4 linked regions of the Arabidopsis thaliana genome follow. The protein of the gene in region 2 binds, or shares a complex with, the protein of the main gene of each other region. Each region holds a gene or a part of one and is shown on either strand. Other genes may lie near its edges. The genes, in order: AT1G21610, AT4G32820, AT1G77310 and SGA2.

What was found.
Region 1: AT4G32820 (region 2) and AT1G21610 share a complex: the UniProt entries of both Arabidopsis thaliana proteins name them as parts of the HIRA complex.
Region 3: AT4G32820 (region 2) and AT1G77310 share a complex: the UniProt entries of both Arabidopsis thaliana proteins name them as parts of the HIRA complex.
Region 4: AT4G32820 (region 2) and SGA2 share a complex: the UniProt entries of both Arabidopsis thaliana proteins name them as parts of the HIRA complex.

The regions. Positions count from the first base shown.
Region 1 is NC_003070.9:7,572,102-7,579,456, forward strand, and holds AT1G21610 (wound-responsive family protein), read left to right. Parts: upstream 1-1,842; 5' UTR 1,843-2,002; coding exon 2,003-2,242; intron 2,243-2,854; coding exon 2,855-2,941; intron 2,942-3,091; coding exon 3,092-3,184; intron 3,185-3,257; coding exon 3,258-3,334; intron 3,335-3,729; coding exon 3,730-3,856; intron 3,857-3,937; coding exon 3,938-4,279; intron 4,280-4,483; coding exon 4,484-4,565; intron 4,566-4,650; coding exon 4,651-4,763; intron 4,764-4,847; coding exon 4,848-4,934; intron 4,935-5,119; coding exon 5,120-5,245; coding exon of another isoform or gene 5,246-5,389; exon of another isoform or gene 5,390-5,526; coding exon 5,527-5,655; coding exon of another isoform or gene 5,656-5,697; exon of another isoform or gene 5,698-5,747; coding exon 5,748-5,795; exon of another isoform or gene 5,796-5,950; coding exon 5,951-6,064; intron 6,065-6,149; coding exon 6,150-6,542; 3' UTR 6,543-6,855; downstream 6,856-7,355. Other genes in the region: PTAC6 (plastid transcriptionally active 6), read right to left, coding at 21-140, 375-479, 1,027-1,095, 1,196-1,681; PUM20 (pumilio 20), read left to right, coding at 7,028-7,235, 7,279-7,355. UniProt on the Arabidopsis thaliana protein: May be required for replication-independent chromatin assembly.
Region 2 is NC_003075.7:15,838,606-15,843,548, reverse strand, and holds the start of AT4G32820 (Tetratricopeptide repeat (TPR)-like superfamily protein), read left to right. Parts: upstream 1-1,905; 5' UTR 1,906-2,094; coding exon 2,095-2,097; intron 2,098-2,194; coding exon 2,195-2,269; intron 2,270-2,381; coding exon 2,382-2,501; intron 2,502-2,576; coding exon 2,577-2,617; intron 2,618-2,742; coding exon 2,743-2,954; intron 2,955-3,071; coding exon 3,072-4,855; intron 4,856-4,943. Other genes in the region: AUR1 (ataurora1), read right to left, coding at 1-37, 121-216, 305-451, 592-711, 957-992. UniProt on the Arabidopsis thaliana protein: May be required for replication-independent chromatin assembly.
Region 3 is NC_003070.9:29,049,503-29,056,946, forward strand, and holds AT1G77310 (wound-responsive family protein), read left to right. Parts: upstream 1-1,995; 5' UTR 1,996-2,168; coding exon 2,169-2,417; intron 2,418-2,658; coding exon 2,659-2,745; intron 2,746-2,894; coding exon 2,895-2,987; intron 2,988-3,086; coding exon 3,087-3,163; intron 3,164-3,547; coding exon 3,548-3,677; intron 3,678-3,758; coding exon 3,759-4,127; intron 4,128-4,490; coding exon 4,491-4,572; intron 4,573-4,656; coding exon 4,657-4,769; intron 4,770-4,860; coding exon 4,861-4,947; intron 4,948-5,139; coding exon 5,140-5,265; intron 5,266-5,521; coding exon 5,522-5,656; intron 5,657-5,760; coding exon 5,761-5,808; intron 5,809-5,960; coding exon 5,961-6,071; intron 6,072-6,230; coding exon 6,231-6,677; 3' UTR 6,678-6,929; downstream 6,930-7,444. Other genes in the region: MEI1 (transcription coactivator), read left to right, coding at 7,238-7,417. UniProt on the Arabidopsis thaliana protein: May be required for replication-independent chromatin assembly.
Region 4 is NC_003070.9:24,890,639-24,894,413, forward strand, and holds SGA2 (ASF1 like histone chaperone), read left to right. Parts: upstream 1-1,701; 5' UTR 1,702-1,947; coding exon 1,948-2,056; intron 2,057-2,355; coding exon 2,356-2,471; intron 2,472-2,544; coding exon 2,545-2,910; 3' UTR 2,911-3,238; downstream 3,239-3,775. Other genes in the region: LIG6 (DNA LIGASE 6), read left to right, coding at 1-57, 165-326, 406-494, 626-725, 877-1,185. UniProt on the Arabidopsis thaliana protein: Histone chaperone that facilitates histone deposition and histone exchange and removal during nucleosome assembly and disassembly.

The sequences.
Region 1 (7,355 bases), on a different chromosome or scaffold from region 2:
AAGATAAGAATTAGTCATACCAGAACTCTGGCTCTGGTGATTGACTTTGTCTTGGAATCAATAACATATATCTCTTCAAGATCTAGCACAAATTCTGGATCGTTTGTCCTTCTGTTCCGGTAATGTTTTGTCAAGAAAACCTGCATAAAAAATAAACACGATGAAGACAATTTGTATCAGAAACTGTAACTACTAAACTAAGTAGTTTCGTGTTGATCTCATCCTTAATGCTTAAAAAACATATTTCCTGGTGTGGTTTCCAAAAATGTTGTCAAATCAAAACTAAGTACATCCTTGTTAATACATGTTGCTCAAGACTCCCTGCATCAAAGACCTAATGGATTTAACATCAATGTACATGGTCCAATATGTACCTTGGATATCTCCCTCTCAGATTTGTACAGTGGATCTCTGGGGGCATCAATAGGTGGTTCAGTGACATTGTAACATCCATAGTCACTCATTGCACATCGAATATACTGTACTTGTAACATCATTAAACAAGCCCTTGTTAGCACCACTCACTCATTGTAACAACTTGCTTATAAATAAACCTTACAATGTAAAACATACGCAATCATGAAGCAGCAAAGAGTACAAAACTGGCCACAGAATGAAAGGAAAGTGACTAAACAAACACCCAGCTGCTACATTCTGACTCTCTAATCATACTAAATGCTGACCATTTACGGCACTTTTTGAGATTATATGTTCAAAATTCCAGTCTATCAGTGTGAGTAGAAGTTCCAAACAATACCAAACGTGTACAGCTCTGTGTAGATAAGATTTCTTAAGTTATACAATTACTAGGTAGAGTGAAGGTATATGGGTTATACAATTACTAGGTAGAGCTCTGTGCAGATAAGATTTCTTAAGTGATACAATTACTAGGTAGAGTGGAGGTATATGGGTTCAATTAGCAATTAAGCACAATATGAAAAGCAATTATCTTGCTGAACAAAAGGAAGTCTCAGAACAACGCATAGGCATTACAAAAACAGCAACCGATAAGGATAAATGACTGACCTTTTGAGGCATCGGTGCAAGAACTCTCGGAATTGAGTAAATATCTGTATCCGGAGGAGTAACATACATCTGCAGCCACCCACACAAAACAATTTACAATTGAAGAATGAGCACAGACTCTAGAGAAATCGAAGAAATGAGCAATTAGAGTCACTGGGAATTCACACACCTCTCTGAAATCATAAACATCATTATCTGGATCAGGAGGTTTTCTGATAAAGAAATCACAGTCCATTAAGCTGAGTTTATGAAACTCATCTTCGTTTATCCGATAATCAACCACCATATCCGAATCCCATCCTTGTGTCGATATAAAACTCTTACTCTGAACAAAAGCGATATCTCCATCACCACCACCGCCTGCAGCGGCTATCGCGGCGGCCAAGGGGTCATACTCGACATCATAGTCCTTCTTGTTGTCAACTTCCTCTACCTCCTCATCATCCATATCATACTCGTCCGCTCCACCTCCATCAGCATCGACGTCATCTACTTTAACGACTATACCACGGCCGCGTCGGGATTTCAGTGTTAAAGGCGCGAAAAGACCGTCCGTTCTGAATGACGCAAATAGCCGCTGAGAGCCGGAGGGATAAGGTGGCTTCGAGGTGAATGAGAGTAGAGATAAGGAAGGAGAAGCGGCGGAAGACGCCATTGGAAGCGGATAAAGCTCACAGAGTGTTCTATCTATCTGTGGATTAGATATTTCGAGGAAAAATACAATTAAAAAAAAAAGAAAAACTATATAATATAATAATAATCCTTTTTAGTGAATAAAACAACAAAAATAAATTAGGAAATAATTAAGAGCGTCATTTTTGGTATCCCGCGCAACTTTTTCTTCTCAGTTTCAGTTTCTCTACATCGATTCATCGATTCCACTCTCTTGATTGCTGTTTAGATCAATCCGTCTCGAACCCAGGGGTTAGTATATAGTGGATCAAACTGATCCGACCCGACCCGACCCGAATTATTAATGTCGGAAGTTAATGAGATGAGTGGTGGTTCTATTGGCGGCGAATTGTTGAGAGCGTCGCCGAAGGTTTTAACGGCCGGTGATCGGAAATTACTCAAGGTGGAGCTTCGGCCAGGGGATACGACGTATGTTTCGTGGAAGAAGCTTATGAGGGATGCTGGTAAGGTCAATGGTTTATCGGCTTCGGTTCCCGACCCGCCTCCTAATGCTAACCCTAACCTTGAGTTTCGAATTGCACCGGTGAGTTTGATGTTGTAGGAATTGGTAATCGGATATATATACTTGTAGGCATTTGTGGGTTTCGTTTGCTGTTATTGGAGTAAGCATTTGTCTTGTTTCGGGGAGTTGTAATCTTTGTTAGGGTTTATAAAGGAGCTTTACTAAATTCGCAGATTTTCAGATTTATTTGTTGGGGAAAATGCTTGAAATCGATATGGTATAGGAGGAATTCTGTTGTTATTGCTCTCTGACGTCTGTGACTAGAGTTCAATAAGCAAACTCCTTAAACGGAGAAAGTCTACAACCTGATATATGATCTTTGGCTTCATTTCTAATTGCTAGCTACATTAGGCTAACTTCATCGTTATCAATGTGAATATGCCATCAATTATACTTGATCTGGAAAGGAATTTGGTTCACATAGTTGCAATGGAAACTATAGCTGTAATAGTGAAGAATATAGAGAAAGTTTTATTAATATCTATTAGTGCAAGAGAATGAAGCATATAATAGTGGATCTTCATTTAAGATGGTATAATATGCTTGCAGCTTCCTCACAATATATTCTTCTTATGCATACAATATGGGTGGTTAAAATCATTTTCAACAGCTGTATTTTCGTATATAATGTAGGGGCATCCAGTAGAGATTGAAACGAATGAACAACCTCATTCTAACCGTTTCAACGCTGTTATTGAGAAGATAGAGAGGCTCTATAAGGTATGCTACTCTTTGTTAAAACACTTTTCTTGGTAGGTTGTTATATGTTTGATTTTTCACATTCACAACATTTTTGCATACCATGCAATAGCACTGTTGCATTCACACATCTCTGAAAAGTGTATGCTTACTTCAGAGAATAAATCTCAGGGGAACGATAGCAGTGATGGGGAAGAGTTAGACGGTGCTCCTGATGATGATGAGTATGACACTGAAGATTCATTTATAGATGATGCTGAACTGGTTGGTGTTGATATCTTTCAAATATTTTTGATAGCTGAGAAATCATATCTCTGTTTTACTCTACTCCTTGCAGGATGAGTATTTCGAAGTTGATAATTCAACAGTTAAACATGATGGATTTTATGTAAATAGAGGCAAGTTGGAGCGGATGTGAGTTATCTTCCTCTTTTCATTATCTGATGTCTCTTAACTCTTTGGTGGCTTTGTCACTTTTCAATCACTCAGATCATGTTTAGAATAGGCATGTCGTAAGTTTTTGAAATAAACATATGAAATCACCTTGCTTTTCAGTTTTTCTTCCTATTTGGATATGTGTAGTCTCTCCAAATGGTAAAATATGGTTGGCAGTCTTGCTACTACTGCCTTAACTAATGTCTGTAGGGTGTTTGGTATGGGTAAAGTCCATTTTTCAACTTTTCTGGTTAAAAAACGTTCATATAGATGTAGGTTTTGCACTTTCGATAGGATAGAGTTTTTCTCATTTTGCCTAATCATGCTATATTTCATTTACAAGTTATCTAATCCCTGATTCATTTTCACAATAGGGAACCTTCAACAACATCTAACCAGCAACCCAAAAAACGGCGACGAAAAGATTCAGCAAAACCCTGTCGTGATGCAGTTGACGTATCCGATAAACACACCAAGTTGTCTATAACAGCTAGGAAAAAGGTAACATCTTTTATTGCAAATCATACTAATTTATGTCGGAGTTTGAGTCTGATAACTGATTATACGAATGGGGAAGTCCAGGATCAATCAACTGCTCCTGGGTCCTGGAAAACACAGGAGTCACCTTTGCCTTCTGGAGCGCAAGATGCAAATACTTCAGTACCTCTGGATGATGTGAAGCATTCTGATAGAGCAAATCATCAGTCTAGGAATGATACAAGTCACAAGTCAAGGGAAACTGGATCCTCTAGTGCCCTTCATCAGAAATACAGCAACAAAAGCTTACACCAACAATCTACGTCCCTGCTAGGAAAATCTCCCCCCAATGTCTTTGCAGAGGTAACAGTAGTCCGTCAGAAAGAAAACAATGGTATGCATCAGCTGGCAAATGTAACGGGAAGCAGACAATCTAGTCAAGCGTCTGTAAGTACATTCCAACTGTGTCTACAATTACATAAAATACACTCAGTAAGTTGGTTGCATTCTAAGGTCGTAGTTTTGTTTCTCCAGTTTTCATCTCGGTTCTGTGATATTTTTCTGGTCAATCTTTGCTTCCATGCATTTTTCTTACCACAAAGTTTACATCAGTCTTGCTTTATAATTCTGCAATAACCTGTCTCTACTCAGAAAAAAGATGGTTCTAATGTGAAGTCTAAAACCTCAATCCTCGAGAAAGCCATAAGGGAACTGGAGAAGGTGGTTGTGGAATGTGAGTTTTAATATTTTTCAAGTGTGACCAACTAGAATAGCATTTGGTGATTTTCAACTTACAAGAATTTATGATTTATAAGCAGCAAGGCCTCCTGCTATCACTGAAAATCAAGAAGCTGATACCTCATCCCAGGCAGTGAAGAGAAGATTGCCCAGGGATGTTAAATTGAAACTTGCTAAAGTTGCTAGGATTGCGGTACTAGAGCTTTTCCATTTGTTCTTCTCATTTTTTTGAAACTTGAAACGGTATGAGAAAAAACTAATATGCCTTTTGTGGCAGCAGGCAAGCCAGGGAAAACATTCAACAGAGTTAATCAACCGTCTTATGAGCATTGTTGGTCACCTAATCCAGCTTAGGTCTCTTAAGGTAAAATTTTCTGTCTCCTGTATCCTAGTCTTTCTGTTACTAAAGCAGACTTGTTAGGACTTTCGTCAAGGTGTTTAAATAGTTAGTCTTCTTCAGGACATTCATGTTCCAGTGAAAAACTCTTCTGTTTCAGGTACAAGCAAACAAAATATGGTTTCTTACTCTTTGTAATGCTTATTTTGCAGAGGAACTTGAAAATCATGATTGATATGGGAGATTCTGCAACCCGAGAAAAGGATACTAGGTTCAAGCAAATCAACAATGAAGTTCTTGATATGATAAAGGCCAAAGTTTCTTTGATGGAATCACAGGTTCTCTCTCTCTCTCTCTGTTCTAATCTTAAGTTGCTTGATAGGCATTTCTTTCATCCATGGCTTTTCTATCTTATTACATTCTTGGAAGTGTCATTAACTTTTATGAAATCTGGAGTTCTCTCTGATAATGGTTTTCCGTAGATCAAGCTCTTCATTCTTTTGTTTTCGATGTTCCCTGTGGGTCAATCTGCCTTTGTAGCGTATTTTCCTCCTATTAATATGTTGAGGCACCTGTGACATTTATGATATTTCTTGCACTATCATTTTATGTTCCATAGGCAATCAAACCAGAAGGTGCAACATCAGACGATTTTCAGGACTCAGTAGAAAAGCCATCTTTGAAGAAGTTTGTCATGGATGCGGCATTGGAGGATAAATTGTGTGACCTATATGACATATTTATCGACGTAATTATCATTTACCTTTATAATCTGCCATGCCAATTCTAGACATAGAATTAGAGTCAAAACGGTTTTGTTCCTGTTTTTTGGTATATTAGGGATTGGATGAAGATCAAGGTCCACAAACAAAAAAGCTATATGTCAATGTAAGCCCTTCTCCATTCCCGATTATTTTTGGTATTCTGGTTTTTTTTGTTCCAAGCTTATCTCATGTCTTAAATCACCAATTAGACCTAGCCAAAAGCTCAAGGTGGTTTGTTAGAGCTTGATGAATATTGTTTTGGAATTATTCATGCTCCAGTTGGCTGAACTCTGGCCAAATAGATTGATGGATTATCGTGGGATCAAACATGCAATTTTCCGGGCAAAGGAGAGACGAAAAGCATTGTATGGAAACCTTGCGAAAGAGATGGTAGTTAAAGAATTTTCTCAGCCCTTTACCTCTTTGCATTAAAATTTTCGCAATTTGCTTTGCTTGATTAGATTCTGCTTTGTTAAAGGATCAAACAAAGATGAAGAAGAGTATGAAGCAGTTGGTACCAAGAACAGACTGTACTGCTCAGCCCAACACCGAATTAGTGGTTCAGAGACAACACAGTGGGGAAAAAAAATTGATTGTTGATCCAAATGCAACCAGCACTTCCGTGGTCACTAGTCAAACTATGGTTGACAGATCAAATCAGCAGCAGCCTGAGAAGCTAAAGGGAATCTCAAGCTCTTGCAATCCTACAGAGGAAACAAGAGTGGTCAAGAGAAAGAACGAGGCTGTAATGGCTGAGAAACAAGTCGTTCTTGCCCTGAAGAAGCCCGAACATCCACAGACACGTGTAATCCCAGCTCCTCAGAATCTGAACATCCCACGAACAACCCCGGACCTGAACTTGCCAAGTTGACATCACGATTGACAAAGGAGCTCTTAGAAACGCCGGAGACAATAACCTCTGGCCTCTTCCTTCCTTGTATTTTGAGGTGGCACGGCATTAGTCCTGGCGATGCCGATGCTTGGTTTTTTTAGCTACAAAGCATGGTTTATAAAGTTGTCTGTATTCCAGTTTGGCTCTTATTAAGTTAGTTACTCTATTTACGTGTCCTTTTTCAAAACTCTAATGTATAAAGTTATGATTTTACGGGCAACTCTTTACTTTTGAGTAAAAAAAACAGAGCAGGTTTTAGTACTGAATTTTGGGTAACGTAGTTGAAAATTTGATTTCGGACGATAATGTAAAATTGATGAAATACATCAAAATGACTACATTAATCCTTTTGACACAATATGAATAATCAATTTTAATTAATATTATTATTACTTGTAAAACAGTATAAATATGGCTCATTATTTCACAGATTCTCAACACTCTCTCATTCTCCACAATTTACGATGGCACACCAGCTCCGTTTTGCCGCCGCAAGAGAACCCATCTCAGAAGAGTATCCGGCGGTTGCTCTTCCTCATCCACGTTGCATCTCCGTCGCGTTTCCTCCTCCGAGATTCACACCATCTCCGTCGCCTTTAACTAATTACTCATTCTTGGCCGCATTAACTCCTCAAGAACTGGAGATGCGTTTGCAAATTGCAATGGATGTCCGTAATGACTAATAACGAAGATCATGTTGCGGCTCCGTTTGAAGAGATGATCTCGAAGTTAGACCAAAGAAAGCTTCAAACGATGGCGTCATTGCTGACATCAGATCCCGATTACTTCTTG
Region 2 (4,943 bases):
GGCAATAGATGAGAGCCCTCGCCAATGAGGCAACATACTGGCACAATGAACATAGAAAGGATATCAGTTTTCATACAAGAAATCAGTTTGAGAGGTCAAAATGTGGAAGGAATGACTAACAGTAGCAGCTCGTCTTTCGCTGAAGTATTTGCATTTCTGAAGATCCTTGTAAAGTTCGCCTCTAGCAGCATACTCAAGTATCAAATAAACTCTTTTCTGCAACAAATGAAGAACTTAATCATGCTCAAGAGTAGATTGGATAACAATTATCTGTGAATAAAAAAGGAGAAAAATGAAAAGTTACTTGATCATAGAAATAGCCATAAAGCCGGAGTATGTTGGGGTGACGAAGATGAGACTGAATCTCAACTTCTCTTCTGAGCTGATGTTCAACTTGGGATTGTTGAAGCTGGCTCTTGAAAAGAACCTTTAGAGCGACAACGTGATTGCTCTGTTTCACATTTTGCATGTATGTGTGAGATTGGTGGAAGGAAAAACAATCAAGGATCTAAAACAAATGCTTCTTAAGTTTGGATTTTAACAACAAAAATTTGAAAGATGGTGGAAGATGATAGATTGTTATATACTGACCCGTTTTTCTCTGGCGAGATAGACGTGACCGAATTTGCCTCTGCCAAGAGGCTTACCGATGTCGAAATCGCTTAAAGTCCATCTCTTTTGTGCAGCTGCTGCAGAAGCATCTGAAGCCTCCTGATAAAAACCAATTTTCAGATCATCGCTAGAAACGAATCTGCTTTGAAATTGAGCAATTTTTGAACATCTGCCCTAATTGATTCTCTTTCTATTCCAAACATAAATCGATTGTTCAAATTCACAAAAGTTTCAAACCCTAAAATCGTGCAAAAGAAAAGGAAGAACAAAGAAAAATCGAAAGAAACGGAAAAAAGATTTGGCTAAAAACGACACGAAGGAATCATGGAATGGTGAAAGAGTACCTTCTCCTGGTGTTGTGTCTCCGTAGGGATCGCCATGGAAGAAGAGATCAACCCAACAAAGAAAGAGAGCAAGAGAGAAAGAGAGAAAGAGGCCAATATTTTTGACAGATCCAAATCCAATTGGTGAAAAAATTAAAGGTGGAGCGGAGGAGGAGCGGGCTAAAAAGCTTTAAAATAAAACTAAAAGATACAATTTCGAAATATTAAAAAAAGGGGCAAAAAATAACGGTCGAATTTTTAGTGCTTGCCACTTGCCAGGCTGTTGTCTGTGGACCTGACCAATTTATATTTGAGATTGTTTAGCCTTAATTTAACTACAAAATTTACATTAACCGTAGCTAAAATTCATGTGTATTAAAACACATATTGTGAAGACATAACAATTTACAGGTTTTTTTGTTCGTGGCCCTAAACTTTTGCATAGTGGGTGGCACCTATTTTTAGTGTAAATATTGTACTGAGATTTTTACCTGGTTGTTAGTTAATTAAGAATGGTTTTGATTTTTGTAGTAAGGCTTTTAAAGTTGTCTGCAGCCCAATTAGTATCTTGAGTCTTACTCTTTATAAAATTGTAACCCAAATACAAATGTAGTTTAGTTTTAATAATGTTATAATGTTATTGGACAGTCCAATGAAGTTTTCAGTGCATATTGAAATAGTAATAGGCCCATTAAAGTAGTGTGCTGCTGCCAATTAGTAGAATTTTACGTGAGATAAACAGATTTCTTTAAAGATGAATGTTTTGCTAATCTGATGAGAACGAACTTATTAACTCCGGTAATTTTGAGTTAGCAAATCTCTCTTTTAACAAAAAGTCTTCAAAATAGAAAAATTAAATCTTAATTGCAATATATACAAAAGTGCAAAAAAGTGTTTTTAGTGATATTTCCATAATTCAGGCATATACAATACATTATCGGAAAACCCCAATTTTTTAACAGACGGCAAAATAGCCAAAACAAAAGAAAAACACAGTAGAGGACGAACAGACCAAACAAAGAAAAGAATTCTGTGAAATCTAAAACTCTAGTAATGTGTTTAACGTGCATCATCAACCCTAGTTAGAAGAAGAAGAAGATTGACCAATTTCGCGCCAAGAACTCGAAAACCCCAACCATTACCAGCTTCGAGTATCAAGATGGTAATGATAATTTCGGGCAAAGATTTAATTTTGATCCCCCTTTTAATCGGTTAGTTTTTGATTTTTTTTGCATTTGTTTCGCTTTTTTTTTTTTCAGTTTTCGATTGCAGCGATCAATGATACGGAGTCCACAGAGAAGTGGGAACCTTTAGCTCCTAGCAAAGAAGCTCAGGTTTTCTTCTGATTCAGGGCTTCTTTCTTCTCAATTTGGTATAAAGAAGTTAGATTAGCTCATTGTTGAAAAATATATTGAACTGTTTTTTTTTTTAAATTGCCCTCTTCAGGAGTTTCATCTGTCACAAACATATCATGATGGTCTTCTCAAGCTGCAAGCTAAAGACTATGACAAGGCTCGGGAGCTGCTAGAATCTATCCTTAAAGATCCTATTATAACCAACTCCAAAGTAAAATCATCTTCTTCACTTACTCTGATGATTTCTTTGGATGATGAATGACCTTCTTATTGACATTATGTCCAGGTGGAGACTATTGCAAACGACAATCATCTCCATCATCTCAGGTCAAGCTCCATCGTTTTAATTCATCTAGTTATTGGTTACATGTCTACTAATTGATTTTGTCTAGTTCATATATTTTTAGTTCATTAGTGCTGTGGTCTCGCCTATAAATAATTTCTGTTTGCAGATTTTTGGCTCTGAAGAATCTTGCCACTGTCTTTCTTGAGCTTGGTTCAAGTCACTACGAGAATGCTCTAAACTGTTATCTTCAAGCTATAGACTTAGATGCAAAAGATTCTGTGCTCTGGAACCATCTTGGAACCCTATCATGTTCTATGGGATTACTGAGTATTTCACGATGGGCATTTGAACAGGGACTTCTCTGCAGCCCCAATAACTGTACGCACTGTTCTCCTCTTTCTCTCTCTGTTTTTGGGTTCACATTACTCATATGTGGTATGGACTATTGCATTTACCCTTCCCTCCCTCTTGAAAATTGAATTGGCTAATGTGCAGGGAACTGCATGGAGAAACTTCTAGAAGTTCTCATTGCCGTAGGTGATGAAGTTTCCTGTCTTTCAGTTGCAAATCTGATTTTAAGGCATTGGCCATCACATTCTCGTGCTTTGCATGTTAAACATTGTATTGAAGACACAGATTCAGCTCCTTTTGCTCCCAAGGGTATAGATAAACTTGAACCTCAGCACGTTCGGCTCAAATTTCTTGGCAAAAGAAAGGTGTCTGACATGAATCAGGACATGGATGCTACCTCCAAGAAGTTAAGAAAAAGAGTGCAATTTAAACTTCCTGAAGCTTCATGGGTGGCACTGCTAAATATTCTAATTGGGATAGTGCATCCTTCGCGTGAAACTGTGGGCATATCAGCTGATATACCGATAACCATTGAATTATCCCTTAGTACAGAGGCTGTTATGCAAGGTATGAAAAAGAAGGATCATTGTGTGGATTCAGATTCAAGTAATGTGTCTGTTAAGGATTGCAACATCGAGAGAGAAAGTGGTGGTTCTGTAAAAGAAAAAGAGCCTGTGTTTTCTGAAGAACACCCCCAAGAGAGGCGGAGTACTCGTCTTGAACGGCTTCGGAACCAGAAACCTGAGAAGGAAGGGTTAGAATTTGATAACAGTAAGGATCCTAGCAGTGACATCCTTCAATATCTTGAGAAATTTGTCCTTAAAAGGGGTTTTGACAGAGAGTCTGCTGGTTCTTTCTGCAATGAAGAATCTGATCCAATTTCTGAACACGCCGTCGTTTCTAATTTTGTGAAGGAAAATTTAGAAAATTATGGTGCGTATCATATGGGTCACTTGCTTCTAGAATATATTGCTAATAAATGTGAACATGTATTGAGTCGTGAGACTGCCTTGAAAATTTTGGAGTTAGAAAAGCTTACAAGACATTGGGGCCGAGATCGGAAACCTGAATGCAGTCTTTTTCTCGCCGAGCTGTACCATGACTTTGACTCTAAACGATCAGATATCCCTGATGCCCCATCATGCATGGTAGAAGTAACATACCATCTCTCTAAGATAATTGAATCTGTTTCCCTTGATTATGCTATCGACTCTACACCTAGTTCTCGAGGGAAAATGTTTTCTGACTCCTCATTTAAGAGTTTTCAAGGTGATGAGGCTGCTAAGGAGGTGTTAGATTATGATACAAGATCTTTCTGGGCTCGATATTTCTGGCTGAGTGCACGGTTATCAATTTTGGAGGATAATAAAGCTAAAGCACTTGAAGAATATCTCAGGTGTTTGTCATTGTTGGGCAGGGAAGGTATCGGAGAAGCTCCTGTCTTAATTCAGCGACCTCATTGCAGAAGAGTTCGAGAGCTGACCATCAATAGAATCATTCATGAAATTAATCTGCTTAAGATTGATTTCCTGTTGGAAAATAACATACCTGAGATGATGGAGAAAGAATTTTATTCGGAGTGTGTAAATTTACTGGCACCTCTTTTGTTTCCAGATAAAGACATCTTGCCTGCATACGCTGTAAAAACGGAAGAAGGGATCTCCTCTGTTGAGTTATCGGCACTTGAGGTTTTAATAAAAGCATGCCAGAAGAGTAAGCCTATAGATGTAGAGGTTTATATGAACTGTCATAGAAGAAAGTTGCAAGTTCTCTTAGATTCAACTGGTACGGGAGAATCTGTTGTGACACCTAAAACCTCGTCCAAAAATTCAAGTGAGAGTTGGGATCACTTGGTGGCGGAGGAAGTCAAGGCAATTCTTCTCTGTATCTCTCAAGTGAAGAACTCCCTTGACCAGTCAGGAAACTCTGTAAGTCTGAAACTTCTTCTGACATATATGTTATGGTTCTCAAGTAATATTTGAAAAGCTAATAACCTTTGTTTGCTTTGGATATGTG
Region 3 (7,444 bases), on a different chromosome or scaffold from region 2:
TCAATGATTACGATGAAAATTTAATTGACAAACAAAAAAATATTTATATTTTTCGATAAAGTCATAGGTTTTTTAAATCTTACCCAAACATATGTCAAAACAATAAAAGTTAGAACTTTTTTGTAGAGAAAATTCACACAAGCTTTTACTAAAAATACATTGCCAATTTATTTCCAAGATATTCAGATCTATTGGGGAGTTGTGTTCAATCAAAATGGTCCCAAAGGTGGTCCATAAAGACATGATTAGTCGTTTAATTAGCTTCTTTAGTCTATGATTACTTGATTAGTCGTTCGTTCTAATAAGATTCTCGCTAGTATTCTTCCATAATGGTTTATCATTAGAAAAAAGAAATATATATTGTATGTGTATATCAGAATAAAAGTTCATGTAATAACTTTAGTCTACCAAACCTAGCTAGTTGTATTATTATTTTACAATAAGACTCACACAGCCCCACTCATTCGCAATCATAACATCGGCGGAGACTTTCGCGACCAAGCAAGCGGGAATAAGTTTCATAGCTCCAGACAACGATGGTTAACTGACTTGTGTTCTCCTCGTTGAAGATGCAAATAAGTGCGATGATGATGAGCCAAGCATTTATCCGAATCAGAGTCTTGTTAACGATATTGAGTCACGGTTTGAATGTGACCAAACCCTTGCTATGATCCCTGTCATTAGAAGCCAAAAACGTGGAAGCTAAGGGGAGGATATTCATACACGAAGTCGCAGTATTTCTTCTTGTTGTCCACCTCATCCACTTCATCTTCTCATCCATATCATATATGTCGTCGGACACCGTCCATATTGAAGATGAATGAGCAGTTGCGGCGGAACTTAGAGGTTGGAGACTATGTCGACTTTATAAGAGATCAAAGAAGCATCACAATAAAAGAGAGAGCAGAAGAGTATCGCCATGATCCCTGGGAAGCGTGGAACTGCAAGGGTGTTATATAGGCTTATAGTGTTGTAGTTGTTGATAATTACTATATTTTGATGTTTGCATTACTGTCTGTCTATATGGAGCCATGGAGGTGATATCATAATCCAAGGGAGAATTAAGAGCTAAGAGAAAAACTTATGCTATCATCTAGCTACACATGATGCATAAAATCTGTGCCTAATTCATAGTTTTGATAATATGGAAACCAAGGAATGCTTTGATATATGACAATAAGCTATGGATCATCATTCCATTGCTAAAAAAAGAGAGAAAAACAATGGAGTTGAGAACAAAAATATGAGATGCGGGAATTGAACTAATCAAGTTATAATCTACTTGTACACATAACCATGTCCCACTCACTTCTCTCAACGCACTTTTGGATGCATCTTGGAAATATGAGAACAAACCATACGAACACTAAAACTAATTGTTTCGCTTTTGTATGATCAACAAAACAGACTTGTAGTTTGGAGTTGATGTAGTCTTACTGTAATGCCGTCTCTCGGTATTGACCTATTCCGACGCAGTTTCCTCAAGAACAATATTAATGCAAAAAGCAACAATTCTAAGGCAAATACATAAGCAAGGCAAGCAAAATAAAATTGTTGTCTCTTCGAATTTCTTAGAATAACTTATGTAACAACTCCTCGTTACTTGATGTTTCATTAATTAACGGACAAAACAAAGAATGACACATGATATTTTCATAATTAATTAAACATATTACCACATCCACTTTTATGAAACCAAAAGCTTAATAAAAACATTATTTAACCTCTAACAAATTTTAATTTATTTTATAGACAAAATAGACACTTTTTTCTCTTGAAAAGTGATTCTTAGGATTCTCTCATATTTAGTCATTTTAATTTTTTGAAAAATTGAAACCTAAATATGTTTGTTTACATTTAATTTGCACTAAAAAAACAAAAATCATTTTCCGAGAGACAGAAAAAAATAAATAGTAATAATTAAAACCTGTTTACGAGGAGGAGAAAAAATAAAATAAAAGAAAATAAATAAAAGCTTAAGAAGCGTCTCATTGCTGGATATCCCGCGCAACGTTGTAACAAAAATCGTCCTCTCAGTTCCAATCTCTCTCAGATTCTCCTCCTCATCACAATTCCCCACTCCTTTGATTCTTGTCCCAGAGTCACGTCCTCTCCTATTCGGGTCTCTACAGAGTCTAACTCTGACCCGACCCGACCCAATTCACTAAATGGAGGACGAACCAAAGCTCCCAACCGATGACGGTCCAACTTTCAACGAATCGTGTAAAATCTCGTCTGAGATATTGACCGCCGGTGATCGGAAATTACTTAAAGTTGAACTCCTCAAAGAGGAGACCACGCTCGTATCGTGGAAGAAGCTTATGGATGAGGCTAGCAAAGAAAACGGCGGCTTGTTCGTTTCGGCTCCCGAACGGCTTCTTAATGCCAACCCTAACCTCGAGTTTCGCCTTGCACCGGTGAGTTCTTAGCTGCCTACATGCATATTCTCATGTATTCATTTCTCTGTCTCTGTTAGACCAATTTTTGTATTGTATCATCATTCCGGGAGCTGAATTGGGAAATTTCTCCTTGACATTGAGTTTAGAGCTAGGGTTTCAATAAACTAACTCTTGAAAATGAAACAAAACTAAAGCTGTATAGTGATTTCAATGTGGATACTGATCATTGTCTAATGATTTAGCGATATATCGAATGCAGGGGGCACAAACAGAGAATGAAATGGTGAATCAACCTCATCCTAATCGTCTTAACTCTGTTATAGCCAAGATTGAGAGACTTTATATGGTACCTTTTCTTACTACTGTTTCTATTGATTATCTGAACAAGTAAGATGAATGTTTGATTTCTTATTCGGAACATTTTTCATACCATGCATTAGCACTGGTTTTGCAACAGATTTCTGATTAGCGTATACTTCATAAAATAAATTTCAGGGTAAAGACGGTAGTGATGGGGAAGAGTTAGACGGTGCTCCTGACGATGATGACTATGACACTGAAGATTCATTTATCGATGATGCTGAATTGGTTAGTGTAGATATCCTGACTATGGCTTTCTTATGTGATCAAAGTGTATCTTGATAGCTGAGACATCCTTCTTTCTTTCTTTCTTTTTTCCCATTGTAGGATGAGTATTTTGAAGTTGATAATTCGCCAATTAAACATGATGGATTTTTTGTCAATAGAGGAAAGTTAGAACGAATGTAAGTTTTTTGTCCTCTTTTTGTTGTATGTTGTCGCATTTCTCTATGGCAGGTTTGTCAGTTTTCATTTGGTGATATGTTGTGGAGAATAGGCTATGGGCAGCATAAGTGTGTGAACATATATTTGGCATCACCGTTCTCTTCCCTCTAATTAGGTTTATGCAATGTTTACTCAGGGCAGAAATATTTGATAGAATTTTCTTGATAATATTGCTACTTCTCTGCTAACATATCTAGGTTATGGTCAAAACGCAATGAATATTTTGTATCGTTGTGGTCTCTGATTATAAATAGGATTCAGGTTTCCCTGTTTCCTTATGAGTAGGTTATCTTCCATTACCATTCTTACCAGTTTATCTAAATTGTGTTTCCTTCCTACAACAGTGAACCTTCAGCTACATCGAACCAGCAGCAACCAAAGAAAAGGCGAAGGAAGGAGTCAGCAAAACCTTGTGGCGATGTTGTTGATGTATCCAGAAAACGAGCCAAGATGGCTAAGACGGCTGGGGGAAAGGTACATTACTTGCAAATAACTTTTTGAATCTATTTTAGAGTTCCATTCCAGACAGTTGATTATTTGAATGTGAAAGTCCAGGATCAATCTGCTTCTCCTGGGCCCTCTTCGAAGAAAATTTCCAATGATTCAAAGACGGTGCAAGATTCGTTTTCCCCTTTGAAAGCGCAAAATGGCAATGATTCCTTAGTTTTGGAAAATGTGAAGCATACTGATAAAGCGAATCACCAGCCAATGAATGCCACGAGTCCGAAGTCAAAGGCAGCTGGATCTTCTGGCCCCCTTCATCCGAAGTGCAGCAGCAAAAGTGTTCATGAACAATCTAATTCCCCTCCAGGAAAATCTCGGCCAAATGTTTCGGCAAAATCAGCAGTAGTTCGTCAGCAAGTTAACAATGGCATGCCTGACCTGGACATTGCAACGGAAAGCAAAACATCTATTCAAATATCTGTAAGTACTTTCCAGCTATCTTAAGTTTATTAGATTCCTCATTTTAGTTAGTTTGGAATTTGAAGTAAGCATGTATTTGGGGCTTTCATCTTCTACATCCAAGAGTGATGCTTCTCTAATCTTTGAGACTGTAGAAATGATCTGTAATTGTAAAGATATTAGCATTTAATTAGGAGAGTTCACGCATTAGATGGCTTCTATCTGTAATTAGTTTTCATCTCGACTCTGGGTTGATCTTTCTGGCTAATATTTGCTTCCATGCTTTACTCTTGCATATCTTACAATCTGTACTCAATTTTTTATTTTTGGAATGGAGCCCCCATGGTATTTACATTAGATTGCTCTTTACCTTTCTCTATTTAGAAAAAAAGCGGTTCAAATGGCCGGCCTAAATACTCGACACTTGAGAAAGCCATCAGGAATTTGGAGAAGTTGGTCGCTGAATGTGAGTTTCAACTGTTTCGTTGTTCTCTACATGCATGAGAAGCTAAATACCATTTAGTAAACTATCATATCCAATTTATTGCAGCAAGGCCTCCTGCTGCCACTGAGAATCAAGATGCCGATATCTCTTCCCAAGCAGTGAAGAGGGGATTGCCAGGAGATGTAAAATTGCATCTTGCTAAAGTTGCTAGAATCGCGGTAATCAAACTCTTCTGTTTCTAAATATGTATATAAATTTTAATAATCTTTCAGATGTATGAAGAAGAGTAGCAATTTTCTTTTCTTGAAGTATGCGAGCCAAGGTGAAATATCAGGAGAGTTAATCAATCGTCTCATGGGCATTGTCGGTCATCTAATACAGATTAGATCACTTAAGGTATTCATCTCTATCTCCTGCATACCGAGACTTGTTATCGTAATGGAGTTGTGATTCTTACTGAGGCATTAAAGTATTTAGATTTTTTCGATTTAAGGTGAAAGCTCTTCCATTCCAGAAAGAGCTAACAAGATCTGTATTTGTTAGTGAAGGAGTTCAAGCTCTTACGGTTTAGTAATTGTTATTGTACAGAGGAACTTGAAAATCATGATTGATTCGATCGTCACTGCAAATCGAGAAAAAGATACTAGATTTCAGCGGATCAAGAGTGAAATAACTGAGATGTTAAAAACACAAGTTCCACTTGTGGAATCCCAGGTTCTCTCCCTTCTACTCTACTAGTTTCTCTGATCTGATTTTCAAAAGTATTTCGTATCTGCTATGTTGCATAGATACTTTTGTTCTTGTCTTTATTGTTGGATTTAAACATCTTCTTTCGATGATGCACGAAACTCAGAGTTCTCTCTGATTATGATTGGCCTTGGATAAGCACTTATATCTCCCTTTTATTGAGACATTGATAAACATCTGATATTTTGAAATATTCCTTGCGCTGACATAAATTGTTTCACAGGAAACAAATCAAGAAGCTGGAACATCAGACGATTTTCAGGATGTTGGATCTCTTGGAAAGTCACCTGTGAAGAAGTTTGTCATGGATGTGGCGCTGGAGGAAAAATTGTGTGATCTATATGACGTGTTTGTTGAGGTAATTAATATTTTCCATAACCTTACATAAAAAGGTGTTCCAACTTGTTAGATGCAGAATTGTAAGTGTCAACATAGTTTTTGCTCTGTTTTTGGTAATACTAGGGAATGGATGAACATTCAGGTTCACAAATCAGAAAGCTTTATTCAGATGTAAGTTCCTCTCCAACCTTTATATTTTGCCATTCTTTGTCTATTTGCTTTCCAGATCCATTCAAAAACATTAGACTAGACCTTGCCTAATATTCAAGATTGTTTACCAAACCTTCCTGATTGATTTTCTTTTGGATTTATTCTTGCTCCAGCTAGCTCAACTGTGGCCCAATAGTTTAGTTGACAATCATGAGATCAGGCGTGCCATTTGCCGGGAAAAGGAAAGGCGGAGAGCATTGGAAGGAAACATTGGGAAGGAGATGGTATTTGAGAAATTCTTAACTTTTTTACGCCATAGCTGTTTGTTTGCTTCTAACGTGCTAACTTTTGGATGTGATAAATATCCATTTGTCATCGAATATTATCATGAACTCGCACATTTCGCTCATGTTTATCATTCCTCAACTTTTATTTTATTTTAGGATCAAACGAAGATAACAAAGAAGAAACAGACACAATTGGTCCCTAAATCTGAGGGTATTACTTATCCCGACAAGACTTCAGGTGTTGAAGTTAAAGCAAGTGTTGTCCTAACTGCAACCACCACGTCCTTAGTGGACTGTCAACCTGCAGCAGACTCGTCCTTTGAAAGGTCAAAGCAGCAACATGAGAAATTAAAGCGAACTTCGAGCTTAAGCAATCCTGCAGCAGAAGGAAAGAAAGTCAGAAGAAAGACAGAACCAGCTCTAGAAGAAACTCACCTGCCCGCAGAGAAACCCCTCGTTCTGGCCCTGAAGCGGCAGACACATCTAAAATCCAAGACACATAAACAGGTACAGGTACATCCACAGTCCAAGGCACATAAACAGGCACAGGTACATCCAAAGGCCAAGACACAGACTCCTCCAGACCTGAACCTGCCAAGTTAGGTACTACAGCTTAGATTTTTTTTCTCAAAGTCTGGCTCTAGCCTTGCCTTTGTTTTTCGTAGCTATAGTTTCGCTTCTAATTTTTGCGCCTAGTATTGATTTTCTAGTCGTTTCTTACGTAGAAGACGAAGTCCCTCTCCTCGTTACAAATTAAAGATGTTAAGAGAAGCTCCAATTCTTTCAATCTGTTTTTTTTGACGGAATAAACCAACACATGTAGCCTATTTCTAAATGGGTCTAAATTTGTCGGCGGCCCAATAAGGGGTCATAATAAAAGAATAAAAAGCCTTAAAAAGGAATTAGTATGTATCTGAAATCAAGCTCACTGGACTGGACGACCAAAAAAAAAGCGCACCGAAAATTCCCGCGTTCTCTTCTTACCAGTTACCACGCCGAATCACTGACCTCAAATCCAGAGCTTGACGAATCTCGTGCTATGCGAATGCTACTAGGTTCTAATATCCATCTTCTTCCGACGATTCTAGGGTTTCAATTTTCTCCGATAACCCCGTGAAGCTCTTACAAAGTCGAGAAGTGCGTGGTTAGGTTTTCCGGCGGCGATGAAGACGACGCAACTGTTCAAAGGGGCAAATGTTTTTATGTCTCGGAATCTGGTGCCTCCTGAAGTCTTCGACACACTTCTCGATGCTTTCAAGCTTAACGGTGCCGAAATCTTCCTCTGCTGCGACCCATCTCGGAGTGGTCCCTCTGATTTCCATGTCATCGCTTCTCCCGATCATGTGCGAAATGTTCTTTCTTATATATCC
Region 4 (3,775 bases), on a different chromosome or scaffold from region 2:
AAGGAGGTCTTCCCTGAGACTAGGCCAGGTTATCTTGAGTATGCTAAGGAAATAACTGTAAGTGCTACGGTAGTTTCTCACCTAGAAGTTATAGGCTATAGCCTTCTTCTGTATCTAAGTGTTTTGGTATTTTCATTGAACTGATCATTGTTTGATTTTTATAGGTGGGAGCAGAAGAAGCGTCTCTGAATAATCATGACACATTGAGTAGGATAAATGCTTTTCTTGAAGAAGCATTTCAGTCATCTTGTGAAGGAATCATGGTCAAGTCTTTAGATGTAAATGCTGGATACTGCCCCACAAAGCGCTCTGATTCATGGCTCAAGGTCTCTTTGCTGTAAATTATCTTACTAAAACATAATGTGATGGAAATGGATTAAATAATGCTTTTCTTTTCTGGCTCAGGTTAAGCGAGATTATGTAGATGGATTGGGCGATACATTGGATTTAGTTCCTATTGGTGCTTGGTATGGCAATGGGAGAAAAGCAGGATGGTAGTAAAAACATATTTTCCAACTTTCTCTTTTTTTTTTTCTGAAAAGCAGAATTGTAATCATAAGTTTACTGGTAATTTCTCAAATGCATCTTGATGAATTCTGATGTTTTTTATATATTTTGTGTGTAGGTATAGTCCATTCCTTATGGCCTGCTTCAACCCTGAGACTGAAGAATTCCAGAGTGTCTGCCGTGTCATGTCTGGTTTTTCTGATGCCTTTTACATCGAGGTAATGAAAAGCTCAACTCTAACGTTGTTGTTTAATGATGAAACAGATGGGGTAGTAAATACGTTGGGTTTGGTCTATACTTGGACTCCTAATTGTCACGTGAGAACCATTTCAAGCTTGATTCTACTTTCTTATTTTGCTTATCTTGCAGATGAAAGAATTCTACTCGGAGGATAAGATCCTTGCGAAAAAGCCGCCTTACTACAGAACAGGGGAGACACCTGACATGTGGTTTTCCGCAGAGGTAGTTTGGGAAATCAGAGGTGCTGATTTCACAGTCTCGCCTGTTCACAGTGCCAGTTTAGGTCTCGTCCATCCATCGCGAGGCATCTCTGTTAGGTTTCCGAGATTTATCAGTAAAGTGACAGATAGAAATCCTGAAGAATGTAGTACGGCTACAGATATCGCAGAGATGTTTCATGCTCAAACCAGAAAAATGAACATCACTTCTCAACATTAACACGCTTCCTATCTGCTTTTGGTTCGTTTAGACTTTTTTTTTTTTTTTTTTTTTTGCTATCAAGCACTTGCAAAGTTGCAAGGGTGTTTAAATAGGAACCTAACTCACAAAATATTTTTTGTGGTTTTTAATCTGTAGGTAGAATGTGTAAATATTTCTACCTAGAACTATGTGAATATTTAACCCATCTGTATATATTATCTATGTGCGTCACTTTTTCTTTTTTGATGTCGTAAACACAAATGGTAACACTGGTAACAAAATATTGAAAGATAGAAAAAAAAAAAAGTATATAGGATATGATTGGTAATCTCTTATTTGTGTCACTAATCGATTGAATTCTATATTTTTTTCGTATTTATGTGTTGGACACTAAAATTATCAAATATTTAGCAAATTTCCCTGCTGCATTTCGTGAGTTAAAGTATTCCTCCCGCCAATTCAACTTAACCGGTAGTAGCCGGTCACCATTCCAACGACAACCGGTTATAAGAAAGCCATCCCCAAAATTGAAAACATTTTCATCGTCTTCTTAATCAAAAAAAAAAAAAAAAAAAAACTCTGAAGCTTCTTCTTTGATTAATTCTCTCCTGGGGAAAAAAAACCCTAGCTCTTCCTTCTTCTCTCTTCTCTTGAATTATCTGCTTTCGAATTTTTTGAAAAGGGAGAAACTTTTTCATCTGGGTCTCTCTCTCTCCCGAGTTTGGATGAAGTTTATTGAAACCTAGGGTTTTTCTCCGACTTGGTTGTTGATTAGAGATAATGAGTGCAATCAAAATCACCAACGTCGCTGTATTGCATAATCCTGCTCCTTTTGTTAGCCCTTTTCAGTTCGAGATTTCTTACGAGTGTTTGAATTCTCTCAAAGACGGTAAAAATCTCCTCTTTCTCCTTCCCCTGAATTGTAATTCATCTCGACTTTATTTAGGTTTTAGTCTCTGCTGATTCTTATGGATTGTTTTCAACACCAATTTGTTGCTGCTGATTGTAATTGGAACATATTGTTACCTAATTGCTTTGTCAGAGTCATGCTCTAATGGTTTGTTTTCTAATTGATAATCTAGAGTCTTGTTGTCTATTAGTTGGATTTATCTATGCACAAGTTCTTGGTTAACATTGTTATAGGGTGAGGATAACTTAGATAGACCCGTGCTTTTGCTTGTGGTACAGATTTGGAATGGAAGCTTATCTATGTAGGCTCAGCAGAAGATGAGACTTATGATCAACTTCTAGAGAGTGTGCTTGTAGGGCCTGTTAATGTTGGCAACTACCGCTTTGTATTTCAGGTAACATATGCACTACTACCTCTTCCAAGCACCAACAAAGTCTTGGTCTAACTCTCTATTACTACTGTTACAGGCTGATCCTCCGGATCCATCAAAGATTCAGGAGGAAGACATCATCGGTGTTACTGTGCTATTGTTGACATGTTCTTACATGGGTCAAGAGTTCTTGAGAGTTGGATATTACGTGAACAATGATTATGAGGATGAGCAACTCAAGGAAGAGCCTCCAACTAAGGTTTTGATTGATAAAGTTCAGAGGAACATACTTTCCGACAAACCTAGAGTTACTAAATTTCCTATAGATTTTCATCCAGAAGAAGAGCAGACTGCTGCTACTGCCGCTCCTCCTGAACAATCTGATGAACAACAACCTAATGTCAATGGTGAAGCTCAGGTTTTACCTGATCAGTCAGTAGAACCAAAACCTGAGGAATCATGATCCTTATACCAAGTCTAGTTGAAGAAAAGTGGATGAGAATTGAGAACTATTGTCTCCACAGATGTTGCGCTTTGCTTTTCTGTCTTTCAAAAGCATTATATGCTGTTTGTTGTACTTAATTCTAGAGGCTTTAGGGAAGTGATTCTTGACATTTTTGTATGTTTATGTTTTGGGCAAAGGTTTTTTAAATCGAAGCAAAGCCAACAGTTGCCAAACAAGATTCTGAGTTCTGATGGTTGGAATTTGGTAATAGGTGTAGAATAACTTCCCTAGATTTTCTCAAGGTACAAAGCGACATTTGATCTTCATCATTTGTTGAAAAAAGTGCCGTTAAATGGTCATAGTTAGCATTGATGATGATGATTATCATCATCATCAACCATAATTCTTTCACCAAAAAAACATGAGTCCGTGATTTTTTTAGGACCGTTTCACAGTTGTTCTGCCAAAAATATGAGTCCGCATTTATTCACCAAAAAAAAAAAAAAAAAAAAAGTAGTACACATTACAATTTCTCGCCTAACGATTTTACTCTGTGGTAAACCGAAAGATAGTTAAAAACGGCTCCATTTCGATTACTTTGAAAAAAAAAAAATGTTTGTTTTGTTAAAAGAAAATATCTTTTAAAATATTAAAAAATATTTTATTCAAACTTTTATTAATACAGATCTAATTACTAAACTCAATAACATTATAAAAGCCGTGTTCGGCTAAGCCCAGTAAGCCCTATATGTTTTGAATAAATACGATATTTTATAATAAACAGATTGTTGTTTTTAAATACCTAATAATACATAATATATTCCTATACTTGACAATAACGAATAAGAATTATATTACCTATTATTTTGGATTTCGTAAAATT